Arabidopsis thaliana: one gene and its partners. The protein of the gene in region 3 binds, or shares a complex with, the protein of the main gene of each other region. Each region holds a gene or a part of one and is shown on either strand. Other genes may lie near its edges.

The links.
Region 1: TAF4B (region 3) and HAF01 share a complex: the UniProt entries of both Arabidopsis thaliana proteins name them as parts of the TFIID complex.
Region 2: TAF4B (region 3) and HAF2 share a complex: the UniProt entries of both Arabidopsis thaliana proteins name them as parts of the TFIID complex.
Region 4: TAF4B (region 3) and TAF8 share a complex: the UniProt entries of both Arabidopsis thaliana proteins name them as parts of the TFIID complex.

Annotation. Positions count from the first base shown.
Region 1 is NC_003070.9:11,853,511-11,859,002, forward strand, and holds the start of HAF01 (HAC13 protein (HAC13)), read right to left. Parts: upstream 3,256-5,492; 5' UTR 3,054-3,255; intron 2,842-3,053; 5' UTR 2,752-2,841; coding exon 2,706-2,751; intron 2,000-2,705; coding exon 1,896-1,999; intron 1,721-1,895; coding exon 1,658-1,720; intron 1,524-1,657; coding exon 1,478-1,523; intron 1,104-1,477; coding exon 849-1,103; intron 627-848; coding exon 535-626; intron 436-534; coding exon 264-435; intron 1-263. Other genes in the region: AT1G32760 (Glutaredoxin family protein), read left to right, coding at 4,741-5,492. UniProt on the Arabidopsis thaliana protein: TAFs are components of the transcription factor IID (TFIID) complex that is essential for mediating regulation of RNA polymerase transcription. Core scaffold of the TFIID complex.
Region 2 is NC_003074.8:6,572,390-6,577,689, forward strand, and holds the start of HAF2 (histone acetyltransferase of the TAFII250 family 2), read right to left. Parts: upstream 3,225-5,300; 5' UTR 3,164-3,224; coding exon 3,130-3,163; intron 2,894-3,129; coding exon of another isoform or gene 2,878-2,893; coding exon 2,653-2,877; intron 2,402-2,652; coding exon 2,310-2,401; intron 2,220-2,309; coding exon 2,045-2,219; intron 1,652-2,044; coding exon 541-1,651; intron 390-540; coding exon 187-389; intron 69-186; coding exon 1-68. UniProt on the Arabidopsis thaliana protein: TAFs are components of the transcription factor IID (TFIID) complex that is essential for mediating regulation of RNA polymerase transcription. Core scaffold of the TFIID complex.
Region 3 is NC_003070.9:9,642,201-9,649,132, forward strand, and holds TAF4B (TBP-associated factor 4B), read right to left. Parts: upstream 5,177-6,932; coding exon 5,135-5,176; intron 5,125-5,134; exon of another isoform or gene 5,016-5,124; coding exon 4,949-5,015; exon of another isoform or gene 4,679-4,948; coding exon 4,446-4,678; intron 4,356-4,445; coding exon 4,254-4,355; intron 4,002-4,253; coding exon 3,941-4,001; intron 3,811-3,940; coding exon 3,104-3,810; intron 2,878-3,103; coding exon 2,753-2,877; intron 2,601-2,752; coding exon 2,513-2,600; intron 2,428-2,512; coding exon 2,289-2,427; intron 2,197-2,288; coding exon 2,141-2,196; intron 2,055-2,140; coding exon 1,998-2,054; intron 1,919-1,997; coding exon 1,796-1,918; intron 1,707-1,795; coding exon 1,656-1,706; coding exon of another isoform or gene 1,641-1,655; exon of another isoform or gene 1,572-1,640; coding exon 1,412-1,571; intron 1,303-1,411; coding exon 1,151-1,302; downstream 1-1,150. Other genes in the region: AT1G27710 (Glycine-rich protein family), read left to right, coding at 350-988; STZ (salt tolerance zinc finger), read right to left, coding at 6,102-6,785. UniProt on the Arabidopsis thaliana protein: TAFs are components of the transcription factor IID (TFIID) complex that is essential for mediating regulation of RNA polymerase transcription.
Region 4 is NC_003075.7:16,425,690-16,430,087, reverse strand, and holds TAF8 (TBP-associated factor 8), read left to right. Parts: upstream 1-2,077; 5' UTR 2,078-2,255; coding exon 2,256-3,317; 3' UTR 3,318-3,449; downstream 3,450-4,398. Other genes in the region: HDR (4-hydroxy-3-methylbut-2-enyl diphosphate reductase), read left to right, coding at 1-62, 164-295, 382-456, 526-631, 726-820, 909-1,094, 1,168-1,254, 1,342-1,407; AT4G34330 (transmembrane protein, putative (DUF677)), read right to left, coding at 4,198-4,398. UniProt on the Arabidopsis thaliana protein: TAFs are components of the transcription factor IID (TFIID) complex that is essential for mediating regulation of RNA polymerase transcription.

The DNA of each region.
Region 1 (5,492 bases), 2.2 Mb from region 3:
GGACAAAACATGGAATTTGCCTGGAAAATTAAATAGAATGAATCACTTCATATTTGTGGCATCGAATACACAGATCTAGCACATTCTTGCCAAAAAGAGACTGAGCCGCATAAAAGGAAAAGGTCTTTTTGTTTCAACACTTAGCCCTTTAGAATTGAAAGGGAAATAAAAAATGGAGAAACGTTTTTTGATGGACAGCACCAAAAAAACTCAATAGGGTTCGAGAAGAAACAAAAAGAGGAAGAACATTCCAGATCACATACCTCTACAAGTGACATATCTATTTTCTCTCCTATCCCGTTTCTGTGGAGGCTCATGGATAGCAAATATCTCGGAGAACTGTAAGATAACCATACCATCTTCCACATACAACGTAGGCAGTGGGGTGGCGCCTTTGTCATCCAATGTACCTTCCAATAACTCATCCACCTCCTCCTGAATGTTTTGATGAGATCACTAACATAACAAAATCATCCCACAGCAAAAATATGTTATTTGAGACACAATTTCCCTTTATTTTGAGGGGAAACTGACCTCCTGGACATCTTCGGTGTCCATATGATCCTCTTTATCCAAGATGCTAGCCTCCTCTTCATACTCCAAGGCCTTGTCTTCCTTTAAGACAACTGCAACGCAATTTTTTTTGTCTTGTTAAGTTTATATTCTCAAGGACTTAAATCACACTAGACTACAGCTTTGCAAGTAATCATTTGCCTGAGCTCAACAAGTATAATTACAGGAAGAATGACTTAACAAAACCAATTTGAGTGATGAGATAACACAACAAAAGTACACTTTACTATGGGATAATTGTTTTGTTCAAGAAACGGAAATTTCGAAATGCAAACCTGGTTCCCTCTTTTCAGTTTCAAGAGATTTTTCAACTGGCGCTTGCTCCTCCTCTTGTTCTTCTTCCTCGTCATAATCTTCATCATCAAACACAGAAGCTCTGGACTTTAAACTACCCAAAGCAACTGCAGTCGAAAAATACTCCTTTTTTGGCAGTAGATGATCTTCCTCACTGACTACTTGAACTTCGGGCCCATCGTACTCTTCATCAATATCCTCATAATCAACAGCATCCTCAGCTTTTCTATCATAATCTACACAACATATCACCACAGTCAATGACGCTGATGACCAGGATTTGGTAGTGTAAATAGTGTCAGTATGTAAATGCTACGGGCAGGAATGTTGCATATTTAAAGATTGTAAACGTGAGTAGTTAAAATGTTTATGCATATAAATTACGCAAGACACTTTCTTAAACAATCCAATAATAATTGGATTATGACTACAACGAAAGTAAGAAGAGTGCAAGACCATTGTGATGGAAACATTCACTGGGAGAAAAACTTTCTAGCAGGTTTCCTAGAAGCTACTCCAGTATGGTTTAAAGAAACGGTAGAATGAAAACTAGAAGTTAAATGAACAATAAAAACTGCATAAGATAGACGACCCTGGCAGACAACATCACCTTGCTCAGCTGGATCACTTGCTGTACGTTCTGATTTTGCCAATAACTGTTGAGTTTAGAAACACCATTATTGGCATCCCAGTACAAGAAAAAGAGGATTAAAAACCACATAAAAGACTCGCAGTTCACTCGTCTATAAACTTTAGAAGATAAAATATTAAAGAGTGTGTAGAACGTTACATTTATATCTGGTAGAGATGAACCCAGCTTATCTGCCAATGCAGAAAGATGTTCTTTGGCGTCCTGAAAAGTTTAAATGTTAGCATTGGCACAGGTATGCTTGGTGGAGAATTTGCAACTCATAGTTAATAAAATACATATATCCTAAGTCCAGAGAGAATAGACAGAAAAACTGAGACCGATAATGAAAATAATGTGTTCAACAAGGTCATCATACTGAAAGCGTAAAACAGATTACCTCATCAAGGTAATCAGCGTCCAAGTCCCCAGAGTTATCAACATTTCCAAAGATGAATCCAAGGTTAAAACCCCTGCTGTTGTCCTCATATTCATCATCGTCATCTGCAGCAGACATGTAAAATATTGGTGTTCACCAAACAAATCTTGGCAGACATGTAAAATATTGGTGTAAAATGGGAATGCATGTGATAACTGATTATCATCACGAGTATTCAGAAATCACAAAGATTGCATGTTAACACTCTTGTTAAACTGCTAAATCCAAGGTCACATAATCATTGGATTCCTCTCCATCATCTTATCAGGCTACAGTAGCCTCCATCTAGTGAAACTACTATTCCCATTCTCTTCGTCATCTAAGATCCTACAAACTCAATTCCCTCTAGAAATTTAGAAAAAATAATCTTAACTATACCCTAGAACATGTCCAGGATCACTCAAGACTGCTCCTTTTCTACTTAAAGAAATCCAAAATATTCAAAACCGTAAATCGGTCATGAGCTAGCCTAAATGCACCAAACACTAGCTAGACAGGGACATCTCTAGTTTCACAAACTGTAGTAATCCAAAATTCCACAACCTAATATTTCCAATCTCTTTGTCAATTAAGATCCTACAAACCAATACTCAGAATCACTCAAGGCTGTTCCTTTTCTACTTAAAGAGACTTAATCCGAAATATTCAAAACCGTAGAACAATCATAAGCTAGACAGGGGCATCTCCAGTTTCAGAAATCATGTCGACAATGGACTGGACCGGAAAAAAGAAAAGCAACAAACTTTGATAAAGAAAGCAACATATATATACCTGAGGAAGTCTCGTTGTGGGAACCCTTGCCATTGGATTCAGCCATATTCAAAGATTTAACTACAATGGTGACAATCGGGAGACGACAAGGCAATTGTCCTTCCCAAATCCCCAACCATTAAAACTCAATCAAAACCTTCAAAAGAAACAAAAAAAACTACACAATTACAAGCCAACCTAAACGGACCTGGAAACAAAAAAAGCTAACTTCTTTATCTGAAACTTCATCAAAAGAGTCTCAATTTGGCTTTAAAATCACAACCAAATCGAAACCCCATTGATCAATTTTCGAGTTAAGCTGAGTTGCAATCAAAGCATTGGATAAAATTGAAGAAGACGATACGATACCATTCACTGATACGAGATTGTTGGATTGGAGGGTTCTTTCTTGAAACCCTAATTGAGGGTACAAGTAAGCTTCGCCGGAAAGGTAAACCAGCTCAATCGGACGAGACGGTACGATGTCGGAGAGAAGTTCCGAGGTAAGCAAACTCTCAAATCGGAGGAAAAAAAAAAGTAATAACAAAAAAAAGAAGAAAATTGCGAAGCGACCAAGACAAGATTGTGAGGGCATTTATAAAAGTTTTATAACCCGACCCGAATAAAGTTTGAGTCCGGGTCTAATTTCTTAACCAGGAAAAATCAATTTCGTTGTTTGGTATGGAGGTGGTTAAGCAGAAATAGAGTCGGTTCTGAAGTAATTTTTGTTGTTGTTTAATCAGTGGTAATTTTACGAATTTAATAGATATATACCTATGATATTTCTTTAAAATATCTTTCTACCAAAATTGCAAAAGAAAATTGAATTTTAAAAGTATTATAAAAACATAACTGTTATAGTTCTACATTTAAATTTTCAATTTTTAATAATATTTTAATCACTTTAATTTTATTTTTTCGATCGACTAACATTCTAATATCCAAATTTAAGGCACACAAGTTTAATTGATAGTTTTATTTTTTTCATCGAATAACATCGGATGTGAAACTCTTTATTGCATACCTTGTACATATATAAAAATCAATAACATGTTGATTTTAATTATATAAAAAAATTTAATATTAAATAAAACCAGATTGAATAAAAATGGATATTAAGAAAATATATAGGTTCTTTTATTTTATGGACCACTGCGTCGGTAACTATGACGAAGTAAAACGGCAGTAGCCGTTAAAAAAAATAAAGTAAAATGATCCATATAGACAGATCGGAGATGTCGCTGAAAAAATAGAAGTGTCGTTGGAAAAAATAGAGATATTGATCTAACAACGTAGGAGTCGTGAAAAATATAGCGGCCTAAATGAACATAATCCAGCTTTTCTTCCATTGTCAGTTTTGAACAACCAGCAACGAATTTTATAATAAATTATGCCATTTATTTCTCATTTCGTTCTTTAATTTTTAGTCATCAAATTTAATCGCAACGACCAATACAAGAAGAACATGGTATAATCATACCAAATCATTGATTCAATATTACCTTATTAGATTTTATAAAATTCATTATCCATTCAACAATTGTACCTCAACATTTTCAAATGTACCTCAACAAGCAATTTTTTCTTTATTTAGTTTAACCTAAACAAGGAATTTATTTTTATTTTTACCATAACCATCATGAACTTTGTTGACTTGTTAAATGTCTCTATCTCCTTCTAACGAAATTATCAAAATCAATTTCTGTTCCTTATACTCCAACCAAATAGTGGTCCTGATTCTAAATCCTAGTTCTAAAATTAAGCCTTGTATTTTCTCTTTTTTATTAACGTAAAATCAAACAAAACAAATATCTCAAATATTTTGTTAAGAAAAAAGAATTCTTTATTCAACGAAAAATATGGATTAAAAAGAACACCAAAGCCACGTGCATTGTCACTTCCCAACTTTAGAAAAATTGTATTTATATAAACAAGTTTTATCTAATTAGCAGTTTTATGTTATTTTGTCTTTAATCTCACTTCACCGTCTCTCTTTCACTCAATCTCCGTGATTCATTTTTTCTCCGACGTTGCTTAATCCTCGAAATCTCCGGCGATGGGTGGTTGCGTCTCCTCCAACCTCCTTACTCCGACCGATGACAGCAGCTTCTCTCACCTCACCAGCTCCTCCTTAAGCCAACATTTCGTCAAGCTAACTTCCACCACTTACGGTCTTCTCAATCTCGACTCTTCTTCACCTTCTCCTCCGTCTCCTTCCTCCTCCTCCTCCGCCAAATCCGTTATCACGCCAATGACTCCGCCTGAGAGATTCACTATCAACGGTAAGGAGGCGGCGATGATGATGGTTAAGTCTGAGCCGACGACGGAGGTTATTAACTTCTGGGAGCTAATGTCAGGTTTAGACGGCGATACTTGTCGATTCTCTCCGATTCCGGTGAAATGTAATGGATTTTCCGGCGGATTAAAGAAAGAGAACTCCGATCCTAATTTGAAAAACCCTAACGATTACGAGGTTTTGAAACCGTTAGATCCGAAATTAGCGGAGGAATCTGAGAGGTTATGTGACGGCGGAGAGAATCGCGTTGTGATTTATACGACGTCGTTGCGCGGTGTTCGACGGACGTTTGAGGCGTGTAACGCCGTGAGAGCTGCGATTGAGAGTTTTGGTGTAGTGGTTTGTGAGAGAGATGTGTCAATGGATAGAGGATTTAGAGAAGAGTTATCCAATCTAATGGCGGTAGAATCGACGGCGGCGGTGTTGCCGCCTCGGGTTTTTGTGAAGGGGAAGTACATTGGTGGAGCAGAGGAAGTGATGAGATTGGTGGAAGAAGGATTGCTTGGTGAATT
Region 2 (5,300 bases), on a different chromosome or scaffold from region 3:
AAGAGACTTTTCATCCTCAAGTTCCTTCCCCATATAAAACATCTTCACTGCTTCTGTTTCCTTAAAATCTGCAACACAATTGTAGCAAATGAGCTCTAAGATTTGCAAGTGAATAGTACAGCATGTTCTCCAAATAGAATCCATGTCATAATGGGGTAGACAAAAAATGAAAGGAAAACAAACAACCTAGCTTTCTAGAAGCCTTGGCTTTTAAAGAAGAGACAGATTCCTCTCTGCCGACGGTTAGCAGTGATCCTTTACCCCCCAGACTCTTAACAACAATTGTCATGGAACCTTGGGTGGGTAAAATTTTTTGCTGCTTTATGGCTAGCTCATTGTCATGTGGATACCACAGAGCTTTGGGCCGGTGAAAATTTGCTCTCTCTTTACTGCAATGAGTTAAATCAAAACTTTTTAACATAAACCACTAAAAAAATGTATTTAAAAAATATATCCAGTGGCAACATTGAGACCACACACGAATGTAACAATGAAGCGTACAAATACAATAAGATGTAAAAATTCAAATGACTCACTTACTTGCTCAATTTGATCTTCATCGTCTGCAATTTAATCGCTGGTGCCGAATGGAAAACTCTCAAACTGTGTACGGTAGATTTCTTAGCATTTCCTTGCAGTTTCTGAGCGCTTTTCCCATTCATATAGAATTTGTCATTAGAAATATTGAATTGCCACCCAGAATTTGATCCACAGCCTTCTTGAAAGGATCCGTCCTTGGATTTTGAAGATCGAGATACAATCCTAGATCCAGCATGAAGTTGAAGATATTTTCTTTCCTTATTGTTCGGAACTTCAAAGATCATTTGCTCATCTTGAAGATCAAATATTAGTTTAGACCTGCTCAAATCTTTATCTGACTCCCATATTATGCTATCTAACCATGACTCATCCCACATATCCCTATCTTGCAATGCAAGTCCACTCAAGCGCCCACGAGCGTCACTATTAAGCTGCTTTAAATTCTCCCGTCCAGCATCGCCATTTTCCCTATAATGATCCTCATCCCACTGAGATTCTAATCTAAGGAGTTGTGGATGATGTCTACTTTTGTTAGTGGACTCATTTGTAGACTGGGAACCTCTTGAGCCAAAAGACTCCAACGGATTTACAAAAAAAGGCTCGAGCATGTTGTTATTGTCCCCTTGAGTTTGCCCTCCAGAGTTCATCACATTTAAGCTTTCTTGTTCAGTCACTGAATTTGAAGCCCTCACCTGTACCATTATACCTGCTGACTCAAGTCCAGATTTGAAGCCCTCACAACAATTAGCACTAAATTGAGGAGAAATTTCCCAGAGTATTAGATGTTCCCATTCTTGCTGGTCTAGAGGGAAAACTTCCATTGTTAATTGAGACTGACAGAGAGATGAATTATCGTCTTTTAAGTCCTGCTTCAACAGTTCACCCATGATACATGAATCCCTTCCTAGCTTGGTAAACTCTCTCGATTCTGATGTAGTATCCCTTACTATGCCAGATTTTACCAGCTGTGAACGCTCTCTGATTGGTAAGGGAACATCCAGCTGAATTTGATCAGTTTTTTTCCCATGAGTGTCAATCCTACCATGGCTCTTCAGGAGTACCTCCTCATCGTCTTCGATAAGCTCAGAAATATCCATAGATATGTATTTGTCTGTACCAAAGAAGGCTATGATGTAAGAGTCTCATATGATAATTGTTTTCATAGAACTTTCTCAGCTATTCTAGTTACATTAAAAGAAGTGATGAATTACAAACAGAAAAGAACAATGCAGAGAGATAACGAGAGAAACAGAGAAAATAATGTATATCATTTCAGAAGCACCAAATATACATATCTACTAAATTCTTGCCAAGAAAAGACAGAGCCACATACAAAAAACTTCTCATGCTTTCGACACCTAATGGCTTTTAGAATTGAACGGGAGATACTGAAAATCTTGAGAAATCATTGTTGTTGTAGATTTTAACATCCCAATGGAAAGCACAAAAAATTCAAAGGCTTTTGAGAATAAACAAAATTAGGAAGCCGTTGCAGATCACATACCTCTATAAGTGATACATCTAATTTCTCTCTTCTGCCGTTTCTTCTGTGGCTCTTGTATAGCAAATATCTCAGAGAATTGTAAGATGACCATACCATCATCTTCAAGATATAACGTAGGCAGCGGGGTGACACGTTTCTCATCCAAAGTAGCTTCTGATAATCCAACCACCAACTCCTGAACGTTTCAATGAGATCACTAACAGAACAAAATCATTCCACAACAAAAAAAGATGTTATCTGAGACACCGAAATCATTCTTGCTGACCTCCTGGACATCTCCTGTGTCCATCTGATTCTTATTTCCCAAGATGCTAGCCTCCTTTTCATGCTTTACGGGCTTTTCCTCCTTCAAGACAACTGCGAAAATAATGTTTAGTGTCTCATAATCACTAACACAAAAGGAATCTAAGAAAAGTTCCAAGAGTTCTGATCTCTAGTATTTATGACGCACTGGACTCCAACTTAACAAGAGATTATTTTCCCGAGCTAAACAAGTATAAGTGTTGAGAAAACTAAACCAATCTGAGATTAATGAAATGACAAAACAAAAGTAGAGAATAGAGTGTGCTAATCGTTTTGTTCAAGAAACGGAAATTTCAAAAGCAAACCTGGTTCCCTCTCTTCTGAATCAAAAGATTTCTCAACTGGTACATGTTCCTTCTCTTGTCCTCCTTGTTCATCATAATCTTCGTCGTCAAACACAGAAGCTCTGGAATTTAAACCACTCAAAGCAAATGCAGCTGATAAGTACTCTCTTTTTGGTAGTAGGTGATCTTCCTCAGTAACTACTTGAAGCTCAGGCCCATCATACTCTTCATCATTGCTCCCATAATCTACACGACATATCATCACAAGTCAGTGAAGCTGATGACCGGGAATTGGTAGTGGCAAATAGTTTCAGTTTGTAACTGCTATGGGTGGGACTTGTTGCGTATATCAAAATCTCAAACATAAAAACCTTCTATTTAATTAACTCAAAACGCTGAGCAATAAATTATCCCACAATAAGTAGATTATGACTAGAGCAAAACTAGGAGAATGCAATACACTAATGAAGAAACCATGTAAGAAACTGCAAATATAACCTGCGGAAGTCTCGTTGTCGTTGGACTCAGACATAATAAAACCCTCGAATGCAAAGAGTGGCGTGACAATTTTGCTTCCCAAATAGCAAAGGAACTACTGAAAAGAATCAGGAGCAAGAACAAATCCACGACTCAACGAAAACCTACAAGGGAAACATACCACCATCAAATTTTCCGGTACAATTAGGGAATAACAACGTTCATACCCAAGTACCAATTTTCGTCAAATTTTGTTGTTTAGTAAGGAACCAAGAACAAAACCCTCGTTGATATCTAACCGAGACGACGACATTCAACGTTATGTGGGATTGGCGGTTTCCTAATTGAGAGTATGTACACATTTAGCCGGAGGAAGTGAAGCGGAGCTCAATCGGGTGATTGGAAGATACAACGGAAAGAAGAAATCGTCTGAGGGATCAAAGAGGCGGGTATTAACATCGGAGTGGTAATTTATAGGGAAAAGTTTATAACCCGCCCCGATTCTGATTTAGTTGTCCCGGGTCCCATTTTTTTTTTTGCACTTCAAAGATTATGTTTATTAATGGTCCACAGAATACAGCCCAATAAAAGCCCATTTAGTTACATATCCCGGGTCCAATAAAGTAAATAATTAGTCAAAAATTATATAATTAAGTAATTAATAATTTTGATGGAAATTTGGCAAGACAAGTAAATAAATAAGAGTAAAAGTGATTTTCTCGCATATTACTCTTCTTCTAGATTTTGGCGCTTTTTTAAAATTTACGTTAGAAATACTAAATAAAACAAACAAAACCTATGCCCTGTTCGTTTTCCTGTCGCTGGATCCAGCGACAGCGACCAACGACCAGCGACAGCAACCAGCGACAACATATATTGTTCGATTGTCTGTCGCTGGACTCAGCGACCAATTACATCAACAATCGCTAATAATTGTCGTTGTGTTGTTCGTTTGACTGTCGCTATAAACAGTCGCTATATTTTTTTTTAAAATTAATTATTTTTGGTACTAATTTATATTTTAAAATCAAAATGTAAATCATATATATCATACACCATGAGAAAAATAAATTAATAGATTTATTTATTTTAGTTTTATCAAATTTAATTTGACTATAATTAGTTTATGTTATTTGAATTTAATTTATTTTAACTTAATTTAATAAGAATTATTTTAATTAAACTAGAACTCAAACCTTTCTTGATATCGCAGAGAAAAATATTATAAATTTATTTATATAATAATTTCTTTAAAACAAATCTAACTCCAAATGATGCATATTCTAAATTTCGTAGTTATTCAATAGTATATATATAACTAACCGGAAAAAATAACTGTAAATATTTTGACAGAAAATTACAATATAGGAAGGTTGCAATAAAAGACACAAGCGAGAAAAAACAACCATCAATATTTTTTACGGAAAGTTGCGATTAAAAGACACAACCGTTCAGAGTGCAAAAAGACATTTATTTTAAGTTTAATTTAATTTAATTCTGTTTAATTTAATTATTTTTAATTATTCTTTAATTTATATTTTTTGATCGCTAAATTGTTCGTTTGCATGTCGTTGGATCCAGCGACTAAAACCAGCGACTAATCGCTGAAATCAGCGACTGATCGCTAAAAATTTCAGCGACCAAAAATTGCGGTCGCTGGTCGCTGGCGATTGTCGTTACTTTTGATCGCTATGCAAACAAACAACTTTTGGTCGTTGTCGCTGGTTTCAGTCGTCAGCGACAGGCAAACGAACACAGACAAGCAAACGAACACAGGCAAACGAACAGGACCCTAATTTACCAAAATGAAACAAAATATAATTATCCATGTCCAAAAAGAAAAAGAAGAACAATAATTGTCATATGACAAAATTAAAGGATATACTTGTTACGGTGTATATTGTATAGTCTCTTTATTTCATTCTTATAGTAACAGACCCAAACCAAACCAAATCCTACGCAAAATTAGTCTATTTTTTTTATTTTATCTCGAACTTTGACATAAGCCGCTAGGAAATATATATTTTAATCACGAGGCGAGATAATTCGAATTAAAATGGACCCTCTCTAGTCTCTACTGCTTTTTTCAATGTCTTAGCCGTTTGAATATTTTTGAAAAAATAAAAGAAAATAGGTTTCTCATTTACGAAACTAACCTCTACAAGCCTACTTTATTACGTGAGAAAGCCCTT
Region 3 (6,932 bases):
ATGTTCAAATCAGATCAATGGATTGGTACACGAGTCACTCCTTGTTTTCTTTTATTTAAGAAAAAACTTGAGACTGCAAAATGAATAATAATGAAAAAATGCAGCAAAAAGTGTGGGAAAAATCATGCGAATGAGAACCATCACCTGTTACACCTTTCTGGTGAGTCACCATATATGCACCTCTCTCTCTCTCTACTGGCACGCCCATGCCAACCATCACCGTTGTATTATGTCCCAAGATATATAAATAGTGGTGTGTGTTTGTGGCTGTGTATTATTCAAACACACAAGTCCTTTTACTTCCTTTTTCAGATTCTAAGCAAACAAATTGTGTCACTAAGCAGCCATCATGGCTAGAGTGATCTTGTGGTTTCTTGTTTCCTCGTATCTTTGTCTCATCGGTCATATGATTGCCGAGGCTGCAAGAGAAGGTGCCTCCATGAGGAAGGAAGCACACTCCAGTGGGATTGGAAGAGAAAGTAAGCTCATGAGGAATGAAAAACACTCCACTGAGATTGGAAGAGAAAGTGCGTCCATGAGGAATAAAGCACGCTCGAGTGAGATTGGAAGAGAGAGTAAGCTCATGAGGAATGAAGCACACTCCAGTGAGATTGGAAAGAGTATCCGACACGTAACCGGATTTAAGGGTGAACTCACAGCTGGTGGCTACGGCGGTGGAGGCCCGGGATATGGTGGTGGTGGATACGGTCCAGGTGGCGGCGGTGGTGGTGTTGTAATCGGTGGTGGATTTGGTGGAGGTGCCGGGTATGGTTCAGGTGGTGGTTTGGGTTGGGATGGAGGCAACGGAGGTGGTGGTCCAGGATACGGGTCAGGTGGAGGAGGTATTGGTGGTGGAGGAGGTATTGGTGGTGGAGTCATCATTGGCGGTGGTGGTGGAGGATGCGGAGGTTCATGCAGCGGAGGCGGTGGTGGTGGAGGAGGATATGGACACGGCGGAGTCAGCACGAAGGGATCAGGCAAAAACTAGAAAAAACATGCAGCTTGCTTTAGGTAGTGAAAGGAAGAAGAAATAAGGATGTACTTTAGCATCTTGATCATGTTTAGGAGTTTGTAATGGCATTAGTTTTAATGGAATAAGAACCTTTCTACAAAAAAAAATAAAGAATTGGTCCTATGTCTTTTCTTGGTTTCAAACATCCGAGCAGATTCTATTGTATACGCGATACAATAGCGTCGATCTTGACATCTGAGGCTCCTTTTCCACCACAGCGATCACATCCTTCACAGAGATTGACCGGACTACTTTTGGTAAACCTTGGTTCTTCCCAAATTGTGTACCACCTACATAAAGTTCGAATATGCAATTAGGAGCACGAAACACAAGAATAACCAGCAACAGAACTGAGAGATTTACTCTTTCAGATCATAGAAACGGGATTACCAATCTTACCAGAAAGTTTCTTGGAGTTTCTTCCTGGCCCTGGAGAAGATCTCTGACGTGCTTCAGCCATAAGTTTCCATTTTGAAAACCTATCATCTCCTCCAACGGCTGCACGAACAGCAACATTTGCAGCCTTGGCTCTCTCTTTATCTTCGTCCTTCTTATTTGCCTGACTTGTGATCAATAAACCTCTTTCAGTGTACGTATGTGTATATCTCCAAAGGTTTAGGTAGTTGGCTCAAGTTCTAAATACCTTCACTTCGTTTGAACGTTGGTCTTCTTTTTCAGTATCATTTTCTTTGTTCTACATCAATGAATATACAAAAAAAAAAAACTAGACATTACTACTGATAACTAAGACAAATAGATATTAAGCTCAGGACAAACCATTACCTTTTCTTCTCCAGAATGTTTCTTTTCCCATTCCTCTTTCACCTTCTGATTCATTTCATTAATTTCTTTCCGGATATCAGATGTGATAAAAGTCCGATTTCTACACTTCTCTGCATCAGTCCGCTGCAAAAGCTCTTGTAACTTCAGAAAGATTTAGGTACAACAAGATCTAAGGAGGCATGAGAAGAGAAAGTAGACTGACCTGCTTTGATATTCGTATTATATTAAACAGTAGTCCTCGCATCCTCTCCTCCACACACTGAATGCGCAAAGCCATGAGAAAAACGAAAACAAAAACAGGAAATTGAAGGCTAATAATTCCAAGAAAAGGTGTTAACATCTCACCAGAGACAAGCACCGCTCTACATCATGGTCTATATGCTTTAAACCACTTTTTCCCACTGTCATATATGAAAGCATACATAAACTTCTTCTCCAAGTGATTCCAAGTAAGGACCAAAGAAGCAGCTAAGATACGAGTTGAAACACAAACTAATTTCTGTCAGCTTTCTCTGCAGTGGAATTTTCTGCAAAAGCGTTCTTTCTTCCTCTCCATGCACAAGTCTTCGATATGCTTTAGAAACACGATCGTTCTTTTTAGGACCAGAATCTAATAATTGTTTTTCCTCTTCCTAGAACAGATGCAGAAAGTAATTTGGTTTATTGTTTCTCTATATCCAGGTTCAAAATGAGAAGTGTAGCAACTCGTAAACATACCCTGAGATTGATGCCACTGACTGCAGTGACATCATTAAACTTTTCAATACTTTCATCTGAAGAAGTCCCACATATTTTTTGCTTCTTTCTGTATATTAAAAAATACATAAGACTTCAATTTAGCAATTCTAAATTGTTAGTAAGGTAAAAAGGATATTATCAGAAAAGCAAAGAAAAAAGGAAGAGTAATTTATGGACGCTGTAAGTAGTTCATCTTTCACAAACCAGCCAGCTCATTACCTTGATGGTGGCAGCGAAGAACCTAGTGCCTCAAGAGGTTTCTTCTGACCAACAGAAGGCATTTTGGGTGTCACCGTAACATTAGCAATCTTGGGAATGGTCTCAGATGGGGCAGGCATATTAACCTGAAGTGTACACAAATAATTTTCACGTAAGATAGATAGTCCATTTACTCTTCACAACCAAAGTTCGAAGCCAGTACAAGGAGAAATAGAAGCCAGGGTGGTCCAAAATATAAGCAAAACGAAACCAAATGCAACATCGGTTGAAGAGAAATGGTCCCCCTATGAGCTTAAAGAGAAGATCAACCAAATTGAAATCTGTCTTTTGAAAGTATAATTTATAAGTTACCATCGTGCTAGAGTCCAGCTGTGTTGTCATTGAAGGAAAAACAGAGCTGGCAGAAGTGGTTGATGTGAATAAACCCATTTTAGAAGACTGCTTCTCCAAGTCATCATTTGAACTAATTGGAATAGCATTCTTCTGTTTCAGTGGAACATTAGTCACGCCTTGCTGCACCAAATAACGAGGTTTATGTGCCTGTTCAAAACTTTGATCAATCAATTTATGCTCCACATGGATCACTGATGAAGAAGGTCCCACTGTATGGTCCTTGGTGACTGATCCTTGCCAAGGAGCAGAATATAGAGGAAAGGATGAGTTCTTTGGGAAGTCGGATATAGGACCATCCTGAACCCTACTTGGACCATTTACAAAAGTTGGCCTCTCAAACTTGGGTACTGTCGTCATGTTTATTGTAGACTTGGTTGGTCCTCCAACACTGGCTATTCCCACATTCTGATTGTTTTCCCTATGCTGGAAATCAGGGAGCTTTGCTCTCGATGATGAACCAGGAGAAGTGACATTTGTCCCTGGGTATGGATTAAGACTTCCAGATTTGGTATCCATATGAAAAGAACTTGATGGAAGCTGCATGTGTTGCTCGGGATGCTTATTTAATCCCTGCACAGTAGTTGAACTGTTTAAGGTGCCTGAAGTTGTAGAAGACAGTTGGTTAACATGAACTTCACGAGGATCAGATTCTTGAGCAGTGAATTCTGCAGTTAATGATTGTATCTGGGATTAGTTTTGTATGCTACAAGGAAATCATAAGATAAGATCTACCAGAAAGTTAAGATGATCTATGATAATTGCAAAAGTAAATGGCATCAACTAAATAAGTTATACCAGCAGATTTAGACACTTTGTCATGGTTTGAGCGTCCAGGTACTTTGATCCCCATATTTCCCTGGTTACACATACAGTTCATTCTGAAACCAGTAAGCCACAATTCCAAGACAAGAAGTATTCAGCTTATACTATTAAAGTGAGAATTCTTTATGTTATTTCCTTTTTAATAAGGTTCAGAAGTGAGATTTCTTTCTCAGCACATGTTCATATACAGAGAAGGAAGCATATAAAACAAGAAACTCTCTTGGAGGCTGCTAAATGAAAATCATTAAAGTACTTATAAATGCTAAGAAAATGGAAAGGGTAATACCGGTTTTAACTGAGGCAGTTGGCTAATTACCGATCTGATTATCTGATCACCTACAAGATCTCTCAGTTGTCGCATGAACTCTTCCATTGTAAGTTCTTTTCTCTGCAATCAAGTATGAAAAGAAACGTAATGTATTAAGAAACTTCGATCAGAGTGCCAATTCATTCATGGATGTAAACTGTAAAGCCACACCTTGAGTTTATAATGCAGGTTAAGACAATGCGTCTTTTTGCCGGGTTGGTGGTCTACCACGGTACGAAGCAAATCAGTAACTCGTGCTAATCTAAGATTATGATTCACAGGGTCAACAGTCTTTTCCACCCAAGGAGTCTCTTTGCTACTCATCTTCTGCAGTTTCATATACCGAGGTTGCGGTTTTTCTGATTCATTACCAGTAGTATTGTTTATAGACTTCAAGTTACTTCCTTGGGGCACATGAGTTCAAGCACCAAAATCAATTATGAGTATGCTCTAATATTTTTCTATGACTAACCGTCACTAAAGCATCATCAAGAACTAACAATCTAATTGCATCCATCAACATTCAACAGTTAACATCAAGTGAAACATGAAGATACATGACAAACCACAAAAATACGACTCGTGAACCTAAATCACTAAAGAAATCTAAAGGCATTTCCCTGTTTTGATACATTCCACAGTTTCGCATATGAATTTTAGGGTCCAAAACGAACCTTCAATATCTCGAATCAGAGAGTCCTGAAACATTTGCAAGTCATCTTCCGAATGCTTAGAGTCAACCTAACGACACGATTAGCGGGAATCGACATTTAGGAGCTTCGTCCACAGAACAAGATAGCGCGTGGATTTTCGCAGACAGTACGGAAATGAAAATGAGAGTGGGAAATTCGAAACCTAACCTCTTCGTCTTCTTCGAGGAGCTTGACAATGGAGAGATCCATGGAGGAATCTCGCGGTACCAAACGTCAATAGCTCAAAACGAAGAGGGAATTTTCAAGGAAACGATTTGTTGTATCCAATAAGATTCCAAATTCCGCAAGTTTTTATATAAAGGGAGATTCTGCGAGAACACCGTGTCGTTTTTTCTTTTTGATAAAACACTGCGCGCCGTTCTGTTGATCTTCTTTTCGGTAGTTGTTTCTTTTGGATAAAACACTGCGCGCCGTTCTGTTCTTCTTTTCGGTAACTGGGCTTGTTCTTGTATATCAAAATTTATTTTTCTTGAATATAATGTTGGAGTTCTTAAACAGTTATTCATATTAGCATCAGACTTTTGCAAAAAAAAATTAATTAACTTTTAGATGAATTTTGATACACGTTTATGACCATTGAGTTTTGGACTTCCCGTAGATAATTCACCAAATTAAAGAAGGGATTATCTACGTTAATTAAACAGTGCTACTAAAGAAAACAAACGACCCGTCAAGAAAGGCTTTTTTCAATTGAAAGTTACGGTATTCTTTTGGTAAAAGAAAAATGAAAGTTGAGTTTTCTTTGGCAGTCTTCCGTAAGATATCACAACTCTTTTTATTTGCTTAGAGCTTTCCAAAATATAAGAAAGAACAATATGTGGATGGTAGTAGAAACTAGAACGTTCTTGATTATGCTTAATTGTGTTATAAATTTTTTGAAAAAAACAGAACCAAAAACAGAGTTGTAGTGGTGTCACTTTATGCTTATTCAGATAAAAAAAAGACTCAACGCGTTTGTAAAATATGTGGTAAAGAATCGGTTTAATAATTTTTAAAATGAAAGAACAAGAAGAATTGGAATCAGTCAAAGTCCAATTTGGTATGTACAGTCAACAAATTCCTACACAACTCTCAACAGTATACAAACGAAATCTTATCGTCTAAGTAAATTTCCTTAAAGTTGAAGTTTGACCGGAAAGTCAAACCGAGGCTTCTTCGCCGGCATAGGGCTCATGACTTCGTCGTCTCCGTTGACCATCGAGAATTCAGGGATCGGAGGGATGTTGAGGTCAAACCCACGGTGGCTACTGCTAACGTGGCTAGTGGACCCCGCACCTTCGGAGTTGGACACGCTACTAGTGTTGATGTTGTTGTTTCCTTCGTAGTGGCACCGCTTGTGTCCGCCGAGAGCTTGACCGGAAGGAAAAGACTTGTTACAGATGGTGCAAACGTGTGATTTCCCACTTCCAGTAGTCACGGCGGATGTGGTTGTCGCCGACGAGGTTGAATGATCATCTCCTCCGCCGGAGAGAGTCTGTGATAAGTTCTTACGGTGGCTTGCCTTGTGACCACCGAGAGCTTGGTAAGAAGAGAACGTCTTGTCGCAGACGCTACACTTGTAGCTCAACTTCTCCACCGCCGGAGGAGGAGGAGGCTGACGGTTGTCGCGAGCGAGAAGCATGAGGCAAAAAGCTAGATACTCTTCCTCAGTGAGGTTTTGGTGGTGGAAATCGGATCTTGATCTCTTAGATCGCTTACCCTTTGTCCAGTGCTCGACTCCATGGAAGACTGAAGAATCTTCGAACAAAGGAGGAATCGGAGAAGCTAATCTTGGTGATGTAAGAGCCTCGAGCGCCATTAAGTTAAAGATTCTGAGGATTTCTTGTCTCTCGAGTTTTAGTTTGAAGGTTGCTTGTGAATTGCAGTGAAGAAATTGTTTAATTGCTGAAGAAGAAGTAATGAAAGTGTGTGTAAATATATAGTAGTAGGTGGAGTGTGGAGAAGG
Region 4 (4,398 bases), on a different chromosome or scaffold from region 3:
TGTATGTTCTTAATGATAAAAAGGTGCAAATTGTTGACACGACTTGTCCTTGGGTGACAAAGGTACATTCCTCCTGTGGCCATAAATCCGTAATATTGTTTCTCGCATTCATCTCTAGCATAGGTTATTGATATCTTCCTTTTTGACATTTGTGACTCTAAAGGTCTGGAACACGGTTGAGAAGCACAAGAAGGGGGAATACACATCAGTAATCCATGGTAAATATAATCATGAAGAGACGATTGCAACTGCGTCTTTTGCAGGAAAGTACATCATTGTAAAGAACATGAAAGAGGTGTGACTTTTATATTGTCAAACTTTGGATATCCATAGAATTTTGCAAGATGTGTTACTGATGGGGTACCTTATTACTGAGCACAGGCAAATTACGTTTGTGATTACATTCTCGGTGGCCAATACGATGGATCTAGCTCCACAAAAGAGGAGTTCATGGAGGTATGTAAGCTTATTTTGCTAATTCTTTGTATCATTCTGGTTTTTCTAATCTCTATGTTGGCGTTGTAGAAATTCAAATACGCAATTTCGAAGGGTTTCGATCCCGACAATGACCTTGTCAAAGTTGGTATTGCAAACCAAACAACGATGCTAAAGGGAGAAACAGAGGAGATAGGTTAGTTACTCTACCGTTTTTTTACATGACAATCGTCTTTTATCCTTGGAAACAAAAACACCTTAGTTTGAGTCTCATGCCAAAAACCCCACAGGAAGATTACTCGAGACAACAATGATGCGCAAGTATGGAGTGGAAAATGTAAGCGGACATTTCATCAGCTTCAACACAATATGCGACGCTACTCAAGTAAAATTCCCATACCTCAAAAACCATGCATCTAGACAAGTTTTACACTTGAGGAAGTGTTTATTCATCAATACTATAATCTCTTCAGGAGCGACAAGACGCAATCTATGAGCTAGTGGAAGAGAAGATTGACCTCATGCTAGTGGTTGGCGGATGGAATTCAAGTAACACCTCTCACCTTCAGGAAATCTCAGAGGCACGGGGAATCCCATCTTACTGGATCGATAGTGAGAAACGGATAGGACCTGGGAATAAAATAGCCTATAAGCTCCACGTAAGCGCATTTCAAAACTAACTTACTCCTTACCAAACTGCATTCACTGATTTTTTCTATTTTACATTGATAGTATGGAGAACTGGTCGAGAAGGAAAACTTTCTCCCAAAGGGACCAATAACAATCGGTGTGACATCAGGTGCATCAACCCCGGATAAGGTATATATATATTTGCAGCTATATTTTTGTTTGGTTCTCTTGTTTCCCACACGAACATGAGTGAAAATATTTGTGAAAAAATTACAGGTCGTGGAAGATGCTTTGGTGAAGGTGTTCGACATTAAACGTGAAGAGTTATTGCAGCTGGCTTGATTCGGCATTGTGATCGTATTCAAATACTATTTGTCATGTCAAGAGTGTACTAAAATATATGTAGTTGTATGATTTGTCTTTATAACTTTTGTAAGAGGTTTTGTAATTCAAAGTCAACATCCTCGTTATCTTACTCCACTTAATGTTCTTACCATAATCGCAATTAGACTGATATAGAACTTGAGACTGTGTAAGGCTGTCATTATCGAGAAGTTGTCACTAAAACAACTAGGTTATGAATCTCCGCGGTATCGGGAAAGAACTCATTTTCAACAAATCGAGCCACAAGAGTTTCTAAAATAGTTTAATGTAACGAAACTCGGGAAGTTGTCAAGAGTTCTCCCGCGATATTTCGTTATGTTTGGAAAATTTTCAAAACAATGTAATGAAATATCGCGGAGAACTCATTTTCAACAGAATCACTCATCCGAATTTCTAAAATAGCTTCATAAATTTTTACGAAATACCGCAGAAAAACTTATTTTCAACAAAATCAGCCACGCCAATTTCTTATAAAATTTTCCAATAATTTTTTGGGTTATGATTACTACAATTTACATTTGTTTAATTTTAAACCAAAATTTTGGTCTAAAAAAAAAAAAAAAAGTTGGTAGTTAATTTTGGGGTTGGAGCTCTATATAAGCGAGAGATGGCAGGATTCTCAAGACGCATTTCTCTCTGTCTCTCTTTCTCTCTTCATATTTCCCGGTGCTTCGTCGACGTTAGGTCTTTTCCGTTGACGGAGGCAAATTTCTTCGATTCTCTTTAAACCGGCGGTCCATGTGGTCTTACCGACGAGAAAACCCTAATTTCAGGGATTAGATAGCTTTTTGAAACAAATTAGAGCAATGAACACAGAGAGAGCTCAAGAAGGTGATAGGAACGATGCCGCATCTTCCTCTGGCTGCTCCGAGTCCTACGAGTTTAGCCACGCAGCCGCTAAAGCTGCAGTAGCTCAGGTCTGCGAGAGCGTTGGGTACGAGAATTTCAAGGATCCAGCTCTCGAATCTCTATCTGGATTCGCACTCCAGTACATTCTTCAGCTAGGTAAAACCGCTACTTCCTTCGCTAATCTAACTGGTAGGAGTCAGTGTAACGTGTTCGATATCATTCTCGCTTTGGATGATTTGACTGATAACAATGGCGAACAAGGAATTTCGTCTGAGAGTTGTTCATTAGGTCGTTCGATTAAACTTAGGGAGATTATCGATTTCGTTAATTCGAGTGAAGAAGTCCCTTTCTCGCAGCCATTGCCAAGTTTTCCTGTAGCTATAAGTGATAGGAGTAGGAAGATGATCCCAAGCTTTGTTGAAATTGGTGAAACTCCACCTGGGAAACATATTCCTTTGTGGCTACCAGCTTTTCCTGATCCTCATACTTATAAGGAAACCCCTATGTGGATCGAAAGAGTATCAGATCCAAGGGGAGATAAGATTGAACAAGCGAGGCAGAGACGAAAGGCTGAGAGAGCTTTGTTGAGTTTGCAGAGGAAACTTGTTTGTAAAATCTCCTCAAGGAATCCTGTGTGGGGAGATATGGATGGTGTGAAAGAAGAAATGAGAGATGATGAGAGTGAACTGCGTTCTGTATCGTCCGGGGAGAAAGTCGAATCATTGAATAGAGATGGCTTATCAGTGATAGAGGCATTTGCTCCTGCTATGGAGGCTGCAAGAGATGGGTTTTCTAGTGAAGCTCACACTGAATGGAAGAAGAATAAACCTGTTGCTCTTTCTAAGCTCAGAACCGAGAAGAAATTTCTCGGACAACCTTTGGATCTAAGTCTACAGATGAAGGGTGAAGATAGACCCATATCCTTTGTGCGTGAGGAGGATAGAGATGACAAAAGAAGAAGAGCGGAGTTCATTTTGAGACAGTGTATGGAGAACCCAGTAGACCTCAATCAGTTGTAAAATAAGTGATTCATTACAGTCTGTGTAGCGTACTATTAATCTTGTGATTTGTAACCTTTCTTTATACAGGCCTATGTTATGATTATGATTTTGTGACTGAAAGAATGAGAATTTCTAACCTATCTTTTAGGCAATTGATATGATGTCTTTCTCATGAGATTCTTGTTACATAACTTAATGTTAGTTTCAGTTTCATGTCTCATGAGTGGGAGCCAGGGACCAGTGTGGAAGGAGTTTAGTCTTGTATCATTGCTATATTTCCAAACCAAGTCAAGTGGTCTGAGGTAAGTATATTTTCTTTGGTCGACATGTGTTTTGCTTCGTGATGTTTATGGGGTGTGAAACATATCACTGTATCAGAATTAAGATTATGTTATGTCAATTAGTTGAGAGCTCGAGGTTAGAAAGGAAAGCTAGGTTATTGAGTTGGGGCCTTGTGGATTAATGTAGGATTTTGCTTTGGACACTGGGCGATAGATAAGAGACTTACTTCTCTCGTTAATCAAGCCTCTTAAGAGTTTACGAGAACTGAATCCTATCACAGTTCCTTTAACTAACACCCCTAGTTTTCAGATTCCATACTTATGATTTAGTTTTTCGTCTATTAGCCCACCACTCTGATATCAGTATATATAGACTCCTGGCAGAACCATCATTTTGATAGTCTCAAATGTGAAAGTCTTGTCTCCCATTGTTTTCAATCATCAAAGAATACAGAAAATGCAACAATCATCATAAACAGTTTGAGTTATTGGACTTTGATAGGTATATACATTCAGAAAGAATCTGTACTATTATTATTTATTGTCTTTGAGCATTTCATCATTTGTAGCAAGAACCTGAAGATGAGAGAAACCGGGTAGTTCCTTTTGTGCTTTCTTCAGGTGCTGCAAGTAGCATTAATAATCCTCTGGAGAATCACAGTCCTTGCCCTTCTAATATCGGTGCTACACATATCAGCCTGGATCTCCAATTCCTCTACGTTCTTCTTAAACACCTCAAGCTGCGTCTTAATCGCATTGATCCCAATCTTGACTGGACCAAGCTCCCCCGCATATTCCGCATTCTTCACCATCCCCCT